3 linked regions of the Xenopus tropicalis genome follow. The protein of the gene in region 1 interacts with the protein of each later gene in a pairwise test. Links are inferred from orthologs where the notes say so. Each region holds a gene or a part of one and is shown on either strand. Other genes may lie near its edges.

Region 1 (4,252 bases):
GGATCTGGAAAATGAGGTTCAATGTTGATAAGTGCAAAGTTATGCATTTTGGTAGAAATAATATAAACGCGAACTATCTACTGAATGGTAGTGTGTGGAGAAGGATCTAGGGGTTTTTGTAGATAACAAGTTGTCCAATTCCAGGCAGTGTCATTCTGTGGCTACTAAAGCAAATAAAGTGCTGTCTTGTATAAAAAAGGGCATTGACTCAAGGGATGAGAACATAATTTTGCCCGTTTATAGGTCCCTGGTAAGGCCTCACCTTGAGTATGCAGTGCAGTTTTGGGCTCCAGTCCTTAAGAGGGATATTAATGAGCTGGAGAGAGTGCAGAGACGTGCAACTAAACTGGTTAAGGGGATGGAAGATTTAAACTAGGAGGTGAGACTGGCGAGGTTGAGGTTGGTTTCTCTGGAAAAGAGTGCGCTTGCGAGGGGACATGATTACTCTGTACAAGTACATTAGAGGGGATTATAGGCAAATGGGGGATGTTCTTTTTTCCCATAAAAGCAATCAACGCACCAGAGGCCCCCCCTTTAGATTAGAGGAACGGAGCTTCCATTTGAAGCAGCGTAGGTGGTTTTTCACGGTGAGGGCAGTGAGGTTGTGGAATGCCCTTCCTAGAGATGTGGTAATGGCAGATTCTGTTAATGCCTTTAAGAGGGGCCTGGATGAGTTCTTGAACAATCAGAATATCCAAGGCTATTGTGATACTAATATCTACAGTTAGTACTAGTGGTTGTATTTATAGTTTATGTATGCGAGTGTATAGATTGGTAGGTGTGGGTTAGATGTGCTGGGTTTACTCGGATGGGTTGAACTTGATGGACACTGGTCTTTTTTCAACCCTATGTAACTATGTACAGACTAACTCTGGTAATGTTTCATTGCTGCTAGATACACTTTTAAAGGGGACAGATTGTGTTTCTCAGACGGCAGAAAACATCTATGACTACTATAAAAGGGAAACCCTATACAAGCCTTAGATTATATAACGTCGCTTGCATAGAGACACCCCTTTAATTGATAATATAAAAGCAAAATAATTTGCCTCCTTACAAACCTCTTGTCCAGTAAGAAAAAGCAGGAGATCTCCTTCCTCCTCTTCACACATGTGAATCTGAATCACTGTTCGAATGGCTGCCTCTAGGTAATCCCGCTCAGGCTCTGGAGTATAGAAGATTTCTACAGGGTGTGTTCGTCCAGGGATTGTTAAAAGAGGGCAGCTATCAAAATATACCTGGAATTTGCCAGCATCTAAAGTGGCACTCATAACTATAACCTGGGGGAGAAATAAGAAAAAAATATATAACCGACGCAAACAGCAAGTTAACAACATGTTCAACAAAACTTTAAAGGCTATTGACAAACCTATAAAAAAAAAAAAAAAAAAAACTAGGCAATCTTTACAGAATTGTAAGAATAATATTAGGGAAAATAAAATCAGTGAGGTATTTTCTTAAAACTTCACGGAGATACCTTTATTGACCCTGTAAAATTTACTGGCAAAAATATCAAGTGAAACATATTAAAGCCACATGCTTAAATTGATAATAAAGACAAAAGAAAGAATGTGATTAGTTTTCATTAAGCATACAAAATTACAATTTTTTGCAATATTACAGCCAATAGAGGAATACTTTGTTCATATTTAGCATGTCCCAAGACGAGACATTGGAGCACACTGCCCTATAATAGTTTGTTTGTAAAATCACTTCCAATAAGAGACAGATTAATATCTGGTGCTGTCATGGTATCTAAAAAAAAAAAAAACCTAAATAAAATCCTTATACCAAGTCCAAGTCTTAAAAACGTAATTACATTAACAGGGAAAAAGAATAAACCAGCTCTCTATAAATGATCAGCTACACTGAGAAGATTAGACTTCCTCATTCTGAAATACAACTAGGGGGCCTGAAAAGCCATGAAACACCTGAAAGAAAGATCAGACCTATCTGTTAGATAGCCTGATTACAAGAAAACAACACATTTTTGGTTACTGATTTTGGCCACATTGGTCAACTGGATAAACTGCAACAATGACACAGAATTTAAGCGAACTATCTTGCATTATTTACCCCTTTACAGGTGTTCTGTGGGGGATAGTACATTTTGTAGTGGCATTAGCAGAATATTCTCTGGAAATTCCCCATACAGCACGGCAATATAACAGAGGAATCCATTCATTCCCTGCCCTCATCTCACTAAAAAACTAGTCTGTCAAGTTAGCCCTAATCTAATGCATAAACAGGGACTTCTCTGTAGTAATTGTTTACAATCATGCTTGCAGTTTGGCTTCCTACACAACTTTGTATGCTCACAATCTGGATGAATATAGCTAAAGAGAATTGCAGGTGGAGATGCCAGACATTAAGGGCGAGGTTACACAAAATTTATATCCGCTTGTCTTAGCCCTGTGTTTTCTGGCCAGGCTGAGATAAGTGGATCCAATTGCCTACGCTCCTCTGTGTCTGCATTACAAATTATGGAAACTGCCTAAGTGGGCACACAGAATGGGGGTCAACTTGGGAAATGTCAGTTTTCACGTTTTTCAGGCCAATCTCCAATCCACCCCTCTTTTTTGTTTTTTTTGCTTTTAACAGTGGCACACAGAGAAGCGTAGGCAACCAAATCCACTTCTTGTAAAAAAAATGCAGGGAGAGAATCGGCTATCCACTTCTGTGACCTCGCCCTAAACACTAAATTAAATACAATTACATAAAACATATTAGGAAGGAACACTCACCTTTAAGTCATTCCTTTGTCTTACAACTTCCTTTAAAACACCCATTAGAATATCTGTTGCTAAGGTCCTTTCATGAGCTTCGTCAAGAATCACTACCCCATAGCGTTCCAACAATGGATCGTTCATAGCTTCCCGGAGTAACATACCGTCTGTCATGTACCTAAAGGGAAATAAACAGACAAATTAGAAACAAAGTTTTTAAAAAGCACTACAATTCAACTATAAGGCCTATGGCACACAAAACTTTGAGGGCCCTGGACCTGTCAGGTTGCGCAAAAACAATTTCTTTCCAATTACTTAATCTGTTCATTTTTTACTTAACTTACCCCCTATAAACAGGGTATTTTGTTTAAAATGAACTAACCCCTCTTTCCTAACCTGCAGCCTTTGAAATAAAAAGCTGCTCACTAAAAAAAAATTAAAAATTCAGACAACTTACTTCAAGATTGTTTTTGCACTGCTGCAGTCTTCAAACCTAATGGAATAACCAACTTCCTGACCCAACATGACATCCATTTCATCTGCAACTCTTTGAGCCACACTCATGGCAGCCACTCTTCTTGGCTGGGTACATGCAACGCCTCTTTTGGGACCAGGCAATGACCTCATGTAGTCGACACACCACTGTGGAATCTAAATAAATGATAAATGTTAGAGTGGATATGTCCCAGGCACTCACAAGAGAAAGTACATTACAAGAGTTTGATTATACCATCTCAAACATCAACATGTAAGTGTGTGGTGCCTGTTTATACAGAACACAGATTACTTAACAAGCAAAGAGCATTGATTTCCTGGGGAGGTGTCTGGCAATGCAGGAAAGCTGTGGTCCCATCTATAGGTGAGATGCTGGGATACAGTGTCAGAGTGGGCCAGCTGGGAACCATGAGCACCTTGAGGGCCCCACTGACTCAGTCGCACACCCTGGCACTCCTGCCCCACAACGGGTGCAAAAGCAACAAGGCATGCAGAGGGGTGGGCTCCGGAGACCCCCAATCCGACCCTGATAGGATAATATAGGAGAGCATCACAGTATTCACTAAAACTAAAACAATTAACATTTTCCTCTATGTTTTGATGATGGGATCCAGGTCTAATGCTCTTTCTTTCTGCCAACCCTAAAACAATCCCTGTGCCAGTCAGGATTTTGATGCTTGGGGGGCAGAGGAATGATGGTTATATGCTATTTCTATATTAATACAGTAGATGTTAAATCAATAGTTATATTATTTGTACCCTACTTTTATACCAAGTGTTGACTGACCACGCAAAAAACTTCTTGGGTTAACCTCTTCACTACCTTCTGCTATTTGACAAGCACTCAAGTCTTTGGCCTAAACTAAAACCTTGCTCTTATTCCTTAAAACAATCCCCTTATCCTATGCCACCTAGACTACTGCAAACTACATTTAGAGCACTAACAAAATATATGAAAATCTGACTAATAATGGGTTAATGCCCTACCCAATGTGAAGAACAGTACTGATTACTATACTATGTGTGCCCTT
Region 2 (4,252 bases), on another chromosome or scaffold:
AAAGTGATTGCAATAGCTGGGGTTGATTAACATTGGCACTTTCCAGTGATTAGATCTTAAAAGTAATTATCACAAAAGAGTTCATATAACTAGGTTAGGAAAATCCATTTGGGGGATCCAAGAGATTATTTGGGATAGTGAAGACTTTATGTAGCAATGTATTCCTATGACTGGTATAAGTAAAGTTGGAAGCTGCTCATATTCAATGAAGGGGTTGTACCAGAGAGTCAGAAAACCATGGCTGTAATAGGATTCATAACAAACTAATGCGCTTGAGCGATAAACAGGAATGCAGGGCTTAAGCTGGCCATACATTATAAGATCTGCTTGTGGGTTGTTTTGTGTATCACCGCCCTCTTTGCAGCTTGTTTGATGAGAATCCCCAGGACTATTCTTGTGCAAAGAAACCTGTTTAGACTCACAGCCATTGTAACCATAGTCTTCTGCTGCTCATTTGGGCTTGTACTAGGGCCAGGATAATGCAGTCGCTACAGTTTTGACAGGTTTGTCATTTTGTTGTTAGAGCTAATGCTGAAAATATTTGCTTTTTAAATGCTGCAAAATGTCTGGAATCGTACCATTGCTCGCACTCTATCGCCTCAGTGATTCACTAAAAAAAATTTTGTCCTACCATTTGTCATTGACAGCTGTTTAACGTGACATATCTTTGTGATGGCCAAACCCAAAGGGTTTTTTATTACAAAGTGGGCAGTGACTATAGTGTATAGGTGGCCAAAATGGGCAGATTCAGCAGCTTATCTGCTGTGTATGGACCCCCGACGGATATAAGGGGGGTCCATCTATGCTCTGATGGTCATTGTTAGGTAGACAAATCAGAAGGAAGATCAATCTCGCCAAGCAAATGAATCCTTAACATGTATGGTCTCCTTAACTTGTTGATTACTCTGATAACCCCTTTGAGAGCTGCCTGCACTACTTGTATTGGTTAGTGACATGTATCATGTTGTGACAAATTGGACCAAAGTTTTTATTCTGAGAGGCAAGGAACTTTGTATGGGTGTCTAAAAATTAGGGACCATTAGTCCATACTTGTGACTTCATTTGACTGCATGTTTGTTTTAATTATTTGTTAAAACTTCATCTATAAATAAAATATATATTTGAGTAGATACACATTGGCATGCTTGTGTTACAGTACTAAGATAGGGACAGAAGGGGACATATTGAGTTGGTCACGTGGAAGCTTCATAGAGCCAGAATCCATGGAAATTAGCTTCCTTTTATGTAATATTTTGCAATTTAAAGCCCATGTCTGTAAGTATAGATTTATTAATTTTGTAGTACATGTCCCTTAATTCCAGTCTTGTTAGGGAGCAGGATTTAAGCTCAAGGTTAGTTTTGTGTAGACCCAGCAATTTTTTTTTTTTTAACGTGCGCTAAAGGGTTGGGGGATATAGCGACTGCAGCAATGTTTAGTGCTCTATCATCCAGAGAAAGGAAGTGGAATCTTGCTGAACAGGAAGCTTTGTGAACACCTCTAATGGGGGGGAAACCATTTTTGCATGATAGGTGCCTTTAAGTCCTGCCATCTGATTGGTAAGCCAGTGTGCTTCCACACAAACTAAGGGCCTGTGTATGGCTACTATTCCCTTTATAACTGTAATTGTTAAGCAAACTGAAGAACAAGAGAGTTTAAGGTATTTGCATTTGTAAACCTTATTTTGTACATGTAAATTTGAAAAGATCCTTTGGCATTTATTAGGAGGTACATTTTATAAAAAAGTTCTCTTTAAAAGTCTGTAACTGCTGAAACGCCTGGTGAATGGTGTACAAGTATACACTCCGCCTTGCCTTTTACTGATTACGATAAACTATTCCACTGCTGACATCAATGTGTTTCTGTCCCTCCCCCCGATACAGACTTTATCACAGCCACCGCTTGCTGATCTAAAAGTGTGAGCCATGGGATCAGATAAACGGTAAGACTTGAAATTTTATTTATATCTTGTATAGCAACATAATTTATGCAGTGCTTTTTCCGTTAAACTGTCTTTAGATGATGAGCATTATTAAAATCAAATTTTACAGTGTGAGTCGCAGTGAGCGGAGTGGAAGATATGGTTCAGCATTTGATCGAGATGATCGCGATGATAGAGACACTAGGAGCCGTCGCAGAGATTCTGAATACAAAAGATACAGAGATGAACGCAGCAGCGAACGCTACGATGACTACAGAGATTATGACAGTCCCGAGGTGAGTACGCTCTATGAGGATTTTAAAATTATTAAACATGTCAAGTTTACACTGAGCCCATATTAAAATCATTGCAGATAAACAAAATTGATTGTAGCTTATAAAAGCAAATCCCATTCTTTTATGGCTAATTATTGTAAGGTCTGTTTTGTTAGCTGAGAAATGCCTTAGGGCTTATCAAAGAATATACCATGGGGTGCATTTATTAACACTGGAGACATCCATCAATGATGATGTTACCCATAGCAATGAATCAGATCTTTGCTATTGTTTTAGGTGACCATTAAAATGTAAATGCTGATTGGTTGCTATGAGCAACATCACCTGTCATGTTTGTCTTCGATGTTAATAAAGTACTCCCCCATGTTTAGCTTTTATACTGATTTTGGTAACAAGTAGCATGATTGTAGATTTTTTTTTTTTTTTTTTTAGTACAGCAGTGTTACATTAATGTCACTATGTGACATGAGTACTTGGAATAGTATATAATACTAGTTTACTTTATTCAAAACACAAGTTGCCTCATTTTAATTACACAGTAGGTTGTGTAGGTAGTCCTGTGTTTCATTCAGATTCTATAACTCTGTGATGTTTTATTTCTGATGTCTCTCGTTTTTGTAACTGTTTTAGCGTGATAGAATGCGTGACAGAGAGAGGAGGAACAGTGATCGTTCAGAAGATGGTTATCATTCAGATGGTGACTATATGGACCATGACTACCGGCAGGACTATTACATGGATGAAAAAGAGAGCAAGACGATCATGCTAAGGGGCCTCCCCATTAATATTAATGAGAACGACGTGAGTTATGCATGCAGTTTTTCCCACTATAGTTCTTTCAAAACATTTAGCTAAAGTGAGGCTTATGATTGGTCTGCAGAATGGAGTAGGTTGGCTTTACTTGTCATTTTAATATATTGCAGCTTACAAACATTGCATATTTGTCTAGGCCACCGTTACATGTAAAGAGCTTGTCAGTGACTGAAAAAAAAAAAACTGAAGAGGACCCACATAGAAAAGCAGTACATGTAGCTTTACCTAGCAGTCTAACAAATTTACACTTCAGATTGGAAAGCTAGAAAGAATTCAAAGCTTATAAGCCTTTTGGTGAAGTGTGTAGTAGGGGGAACATAACAATTTAAAGCATGTTCAAACAGGCATTGTTTCCCCACTTAATGATTTTGTGCATTTTAGATTCGTGAACTAGTGGAGTCTTTTGAAGGACCGCAGCCTGCTGATGTGCGGCTGATGAAGAGAAAGACAGGTGAGGTTCTATCTGGCGTGAGGCTTTGGACTGTTGCTCTTTCTGAAATCCACTACTTTTACACTGCTCTCCCCTTTGGTGATAAGGCCCCTGCTCATCCCACATTCAAAATCAGGCTTTTATCAACCTTTTATGGCTAAGGAACCTCTTAGTTTGAAATTTTGTGATTTTGTTTTATGTGTAGCATATTGTTAAATGAAGACTTTGGTAAGTAGAACTGTAGGCTTTTACTGTTGCACGGGTGGTTTTACCACTCCTTCCTGAATACAACTGATGGACTTGGAGTCTTCAGTACCTGTAACACATGTGGGGTGCAGCCTCTTGGTAAGCACTGTACACGTGACAAAATTATAGGATCGTGGGCATAAATTGCCTGGAGGTTCCTTTTTTTGTTTTTATGGCAAGCCCTGTATAGACAGGTAGGAGGACTACACCCATGGAAGCCATGCCATAAAGCACTGCTAGAACCATGGGCTTTGTCAGTTGGAGAGATGCAGCTGTGTTTTATGTAAAAGGAACTAACTAACACTAGTATCCCGTCTATATCTGAATGCTGTCTCTAGGTTTAAGCCGCGGTTTCGCCTTCGTGGAGTTTTATCACTTGCAAGATGCTACCCGCTGGATGGAAGCCAATCAGGTTGCTTCACTCGCCAAGTCTAGAATACTCCTGAGAAATGGCACATTTACATATGTCTGTAATTAAGATCGAAAAGCAGGGGGGAGGGGATAAAGGGAGAGAGGCTCAGGGGAAACTTGACAAAGGTAATACATGC
Region 3 (4,252 bases), on another chromosome or scaffold:
ATCGAAGCCATGTGCTCAATGTCAGTGTACCCCTACAAGCATCTAACTAAAAACGAATCTTATTTTATCTGGCCTTTAGGATGGGTGCCCTTGAATACTGTTGCTGCATTTCATAAACACAGTTACAATACTAAGGATACACCACTGCTACTGCATAACATACTAAGGCAGCACTCATATCATTAGTACTAAGTAAAGCAAAAGCACGACACCTATACCATACATGCTGGTTATTACCTCAAAAATGACACATTTTCCAACTTTGCCGTATTTTTCACACTCTTCCTTTGTTTCAGCTTCCAGATCTTCATCAACTTCCCCAGCACCTACCATGTTCTAGAAGTAGAAATCAGCAGAATGAGCTTTTGACAACAAAAATTGAGTGTTTTCCAATAGCAGAAAAAGCGCAAATTACAATTATAAAAAAGTCTCCCTATGAACATATTTTTGGCCGATAAACCTTGGGCTGCTGCCCTTCTTACCTGAAGCAAAACAACTTTAGTAGGATTCTTTAGTATTTCTGTCAGAGGGTTTGGATCTGCTTTCTTAGCTGCTTCAACTGTAAGAGATTAAATTTCTATTTAAAACACTTTAAATGAAAAAAATCACCAATGAAGCAAGGAATCTGCACTATTAGGCGTTATTGTGAAACTCTTGACTTTGTGTATATATATATATATATATATATATATATATATATATATATATATATATATATATATATACATACACATATACATACATACATACATACACACACACACCCATGTTAAAAAAAAAAAAAAACTTGGGAAAAAAACAAAAATATTTATTTATATGCACTACATAAGTTATATCCACATATCCATACACACACTTTATATATTAGTATCTGAAAATTGTTACTCAAAACAACAAACCTTTGTCAGCTAAGTCACCAATAATAATTTTGCCTCCCCTCTTGCTTGTCTTTTCAACAGAAAGTGCAGTGCTGAGACCCTGCTCGTGCTTGCCAAGGCCCTGTCCTTCCCGAAAGCCATACTTCTGCATGATTTTGTGGGCCACAGTACCACTTTAAAAACAGAAACAAAGTACACAAAACCTCAGCTTATTTTTGCCCCCTACAGTAGCTGTAAGTAAATATGAACCCATATAAAGTGATGAGCAAGGGAGTAGCACAGTCACCATATATACATGGAATTTTGCCCATTTCAGTTTTATACATACTTTCAGAAAAGTTACCTAATATGCCACTGCACCTTAATTTTTAATTATCCCTAAGGATTTTCATAAAGAAAATATCTAGGCTAATCACACAGAATGAGTTTTCGATCGTCACAGTGAAGTTTCAGGTGGAAACCAGTGCAAAGACACCACTATCTGCCTGTCAGTAATTACCCTAGAGATGTGCCTATGGAACACCGGACAGGGACAGGTGAGATGCGTTTTGTTTCTATTGTAAAACAATAGCAGTCCCATGTCTGAGAGATGTTTAGTACAAAAAATATCATACAAAGCCAGACAAGCATTCTGCCACATTTGATAATACATTAGGCACTGGAGGACACTGTTGAGTTAGCATCACTATACTCCATAAGATCAAACATTTATTGATTTACAAATTAGCCCAATCTAAGTGTCTGGTCGCCAGTTCAATATGCGGATTATGTAAGTGGTTGTGCGGTGTGGCTGAATATAGAGTATATACAGCCCGATGTAGTTGGGGACAACCAGATTTTCCTCTGTCCAGTTATCTGATAATCACTGAAAAATATTGGACCAGAAAGATCGTTTTGGTCCCCCACGCAGGATAATTGGCTGTGATTTTGTGCAAGAGAGGTTGAATCAGCAGCATACATCTTAATTCAATACATCCAAAAGCAAGTACTGTATGTTTAGCCAATCATATATGAGGTAAGGCATTGTCTTTCAATGCTACATTTAAAAGAAAAAGAGAAATCAGTTGGGATACTGGATCATGTCTGAGGATAATAAAATTAATAGGACTGTGTATAATTATCAGTCAGAGTTTCAAAACTATTTATAAATGTATACAATATTGTAAGCTACTCTTTTACACAGAAAACCATATTCCATACCCCATATTTGCAAGGAAAGAATTGCTAGGCCCAGTTGGTGATCTTGGTCTCTCTGGCTCATCATACATAGGTGGTGGAATTGCAGCCTTTGCCATTGGTGGTCGTGGCCTTGGCTCGTCATCATAAGCAGGCACAATAGCTAGATCAAAAACACATAATTAGAACAAACTGTATGACAGGTTAAAAACTGTTACTGCCTCTTTAGCAATTCAGTAGAAATTGTGTGTATAGGGGGCACAACATTTTAGCTGCTACACATTTTGTAATTCTTCACAGGATCCATACGATAGCCTGTATGCAGAAGGCAAATCTTTTGGTTTTCACTGTTGGCCCATGGGCAGCAAATCAACTTGCCCATATTGTTCCACAGATACTTGTGAACTAAAAGTTTGCATCATTTGATTCATTAATTTATGCATTATACAGGCCCTGCAGGACACTTTGGTCTCACTTATTAACATTGGGCAAAACTGCACCTGTGCAGTAACCCATTACTGCAGTTATCAATCAATTTTCAGCCTGCTTTAGGCAAAACACTGAAAGCAAAAAACTGGCAATTAGTTGCCATGGATTACTGCCCCTGTTGCATGTATTGGTGATTTTAAAAAGCAAGTCGTCACATAAGTCAACTGCAGTTATCTCACTTTTCTACAAGTTGGGAAATAACTAAAGCAACTTTAAGTTCAACACACAACTGCTCACTTAAGTAGTTGCAGTCCTAACATAAATGGTGCACTATAACCTCTAATTCAATTCAATATTTATTTACCAAGCAGTTGAGTGGATACTCATAATTGTTAAAGGAGAACTATACCCCCAGGCGCAAAAATCCCCCTTAACTATCATTACCTAGACCCCCCTCACCTCTCCCTTAATACAGAGAAATCTTCTTACTGACTAAAGACTCTTCAGGTCTTACCACTGACACCTAGCCTGCTTGCGCATGCACAGTTGAAGCAGATTTCAGGCTACCTCCAACTGCGCGTGGCCAAGCAAGTTCGTATTGGCAGAGAGACCCGAAGTGTCTTCAACCAGTAAGATGTCGGTGAAGTACGTGGCTGCGCTTATCTGTTTTTTTAGCTAGCGGTTAGCGATAGGAGCAGAGTAGAAACGTTAAAACTATGCAATATTGGAGAGGTGAGGGGGGATCTAAGCAATTATAGTTAAGGGAGCTTTTTGCGCCCGGGGGTATAGTTCTCCTTTAAAAGCCATTTCCATCCCTGGGGCAGTTTACTGGTGAACAGGTCTTCCATTCAATGTTCTGGCACCTGCCATGATTTAAATTGGTGCCAGCATTGGGATTTCCTACACTTCCTACAATGGTAAATATATGTGTTTCAAGTTTAAATTTTCTTAACTGATTAAACAGATGTCAAACAATTCAAGCACAGATTGTTGTGTTAGTTACATGATCCTTTAATACAGATTCGTGCAGTCATCTTTCACAGATTTGAATGAACCGCCATCTAGTGGTGGTAAATCTGGTAAAGTTGGAGATACCAGACTGAATTGAATTAAAGCAACATTAAAGCCCAACAAATTATTTGGCTAGAAATACTATAGCTTATATTGGGGCCTTACAGTCTGAGCTAAAACATACAGCAGTCTATGACTGAGACCTATACCTCCCCACAAGTTCATGAACAGTTTAGAGGTACTGCCCATTCTCTTACTGAACAACCTCATTCCTTACACCAGTCAAACTTCTGTGGTGCCGAGGGCCAAATTTCTCTAGCATACATAGTGGAGGGCCGCTAACGGGAGTCAGTTTGACCACTCCCCCTTTTTAAACCACACCCACTTCAAACAACACCCATGTGAGGACCAAGCATTTGGGTTTTTGCTGAACTACTACCATTGTGATAAATGGTAGTAGCGCAGCAAAAACCCAAATGCTTGGTCCTCACTGGAGGGATATCAACCATCATTCATATGTGAAAGAATTATAGTATGTCATATTAAGACACAGCCTTAAATCCATATGCCTCCTTCTCCCCTGTGGATAGCCCAGAAACCCCCAGCACATAATTACACACCTTAGTGACCATTTAATGGCTATTACCAACTGCTAACAAACTCCCAAAACAAACCCCTGCCAGGTTCACCTCCCACAGGCAGCATAGGGAAGGCAGAGTATGGCACAGTATGATACTCTGCCTTCCCTAAGCTGCCTG

What was found. The genes of interacting proteins can lie anywhere in the genome.
Region 2: the proteins of dhx15 (region 1) and rbm5 interact in binary tests that used the Homo sapiens proteins (3 or more experiments, as listed by UniProt). The link is inferred for Xenopus tropicalis from reciprocal best matches to the Homo sapiens genes DHX15 and RBM5.
Region 3: the proteins of dhx15 (region 1) and rbm17 interact in binary tests that used the Homo sapiens proteins (3 or more experiments, as listed by UniProt). The link is inferred for Xenopus tropicalis from reciprocal best matches to the Homo sapiens genes DHX15 and RBM17.

The regions. Positions count from the first base shown.
Region 1 is NC_030677.2:31,426,209-31,430,460, forward strand, and holds part of dhx15 (pre-mRNA-splicing factor ATP-dependent RNA helicase DHX15), read right to left. Parts: intron 3,378-4,252; coding exon 3,184-3,377; intron 2,905-3,183; coding exon 2,745-2,904; intron 1,281-2,744; coding exon 1,062-1,280; intron 1-1,061.
Region 2 is NC_030680.2:126,299,161-126,303,412, reverse strand, and holds part of rbm5 (RNA-binding protein 5), read left to right. Parts: intron 1-1,881; 5' UTR 1,882-1,923; coding exon 1,924-1,940; intron 1,941-2,049; coding exon 2,050-2,215; intron 2,216-2,845; coding exon 2,846-3,016; intron 3,017-3,409; coding exon 3,410-3,479; intron 3,480-4,042; coding exon 4,043-4,116; intron 4,117-4,252. UniProt on the Homo sapiens protein: Component of the spliceosome A complex. Binds to ssRNA containing the consensus sequence 5'-AGGUAA-3'. Regulates alternative splicing of a number of mRNAs.
Region 3 is NC_030679.2:84,305,022-84,309,273, forward strand, and holds part of rbm17 (splicing factor 45), read right to left. Parts: intron 2,218-4,252; coding exon 2,079-2,217; intron 1,052-2,078; coding exon 900-1,051; intron 560-899; coding exon 483-559; intron 337-482; coding exon 238-336; intron 1-237. UniProt on the Homo sapiens protein: Splice factor that binds to the single-stranded 3'AG at the exon/intron border and promotes its utilization in the second catalytic step. Involved in the regulation of alternative splicing and the utilization of cryptic splice sites.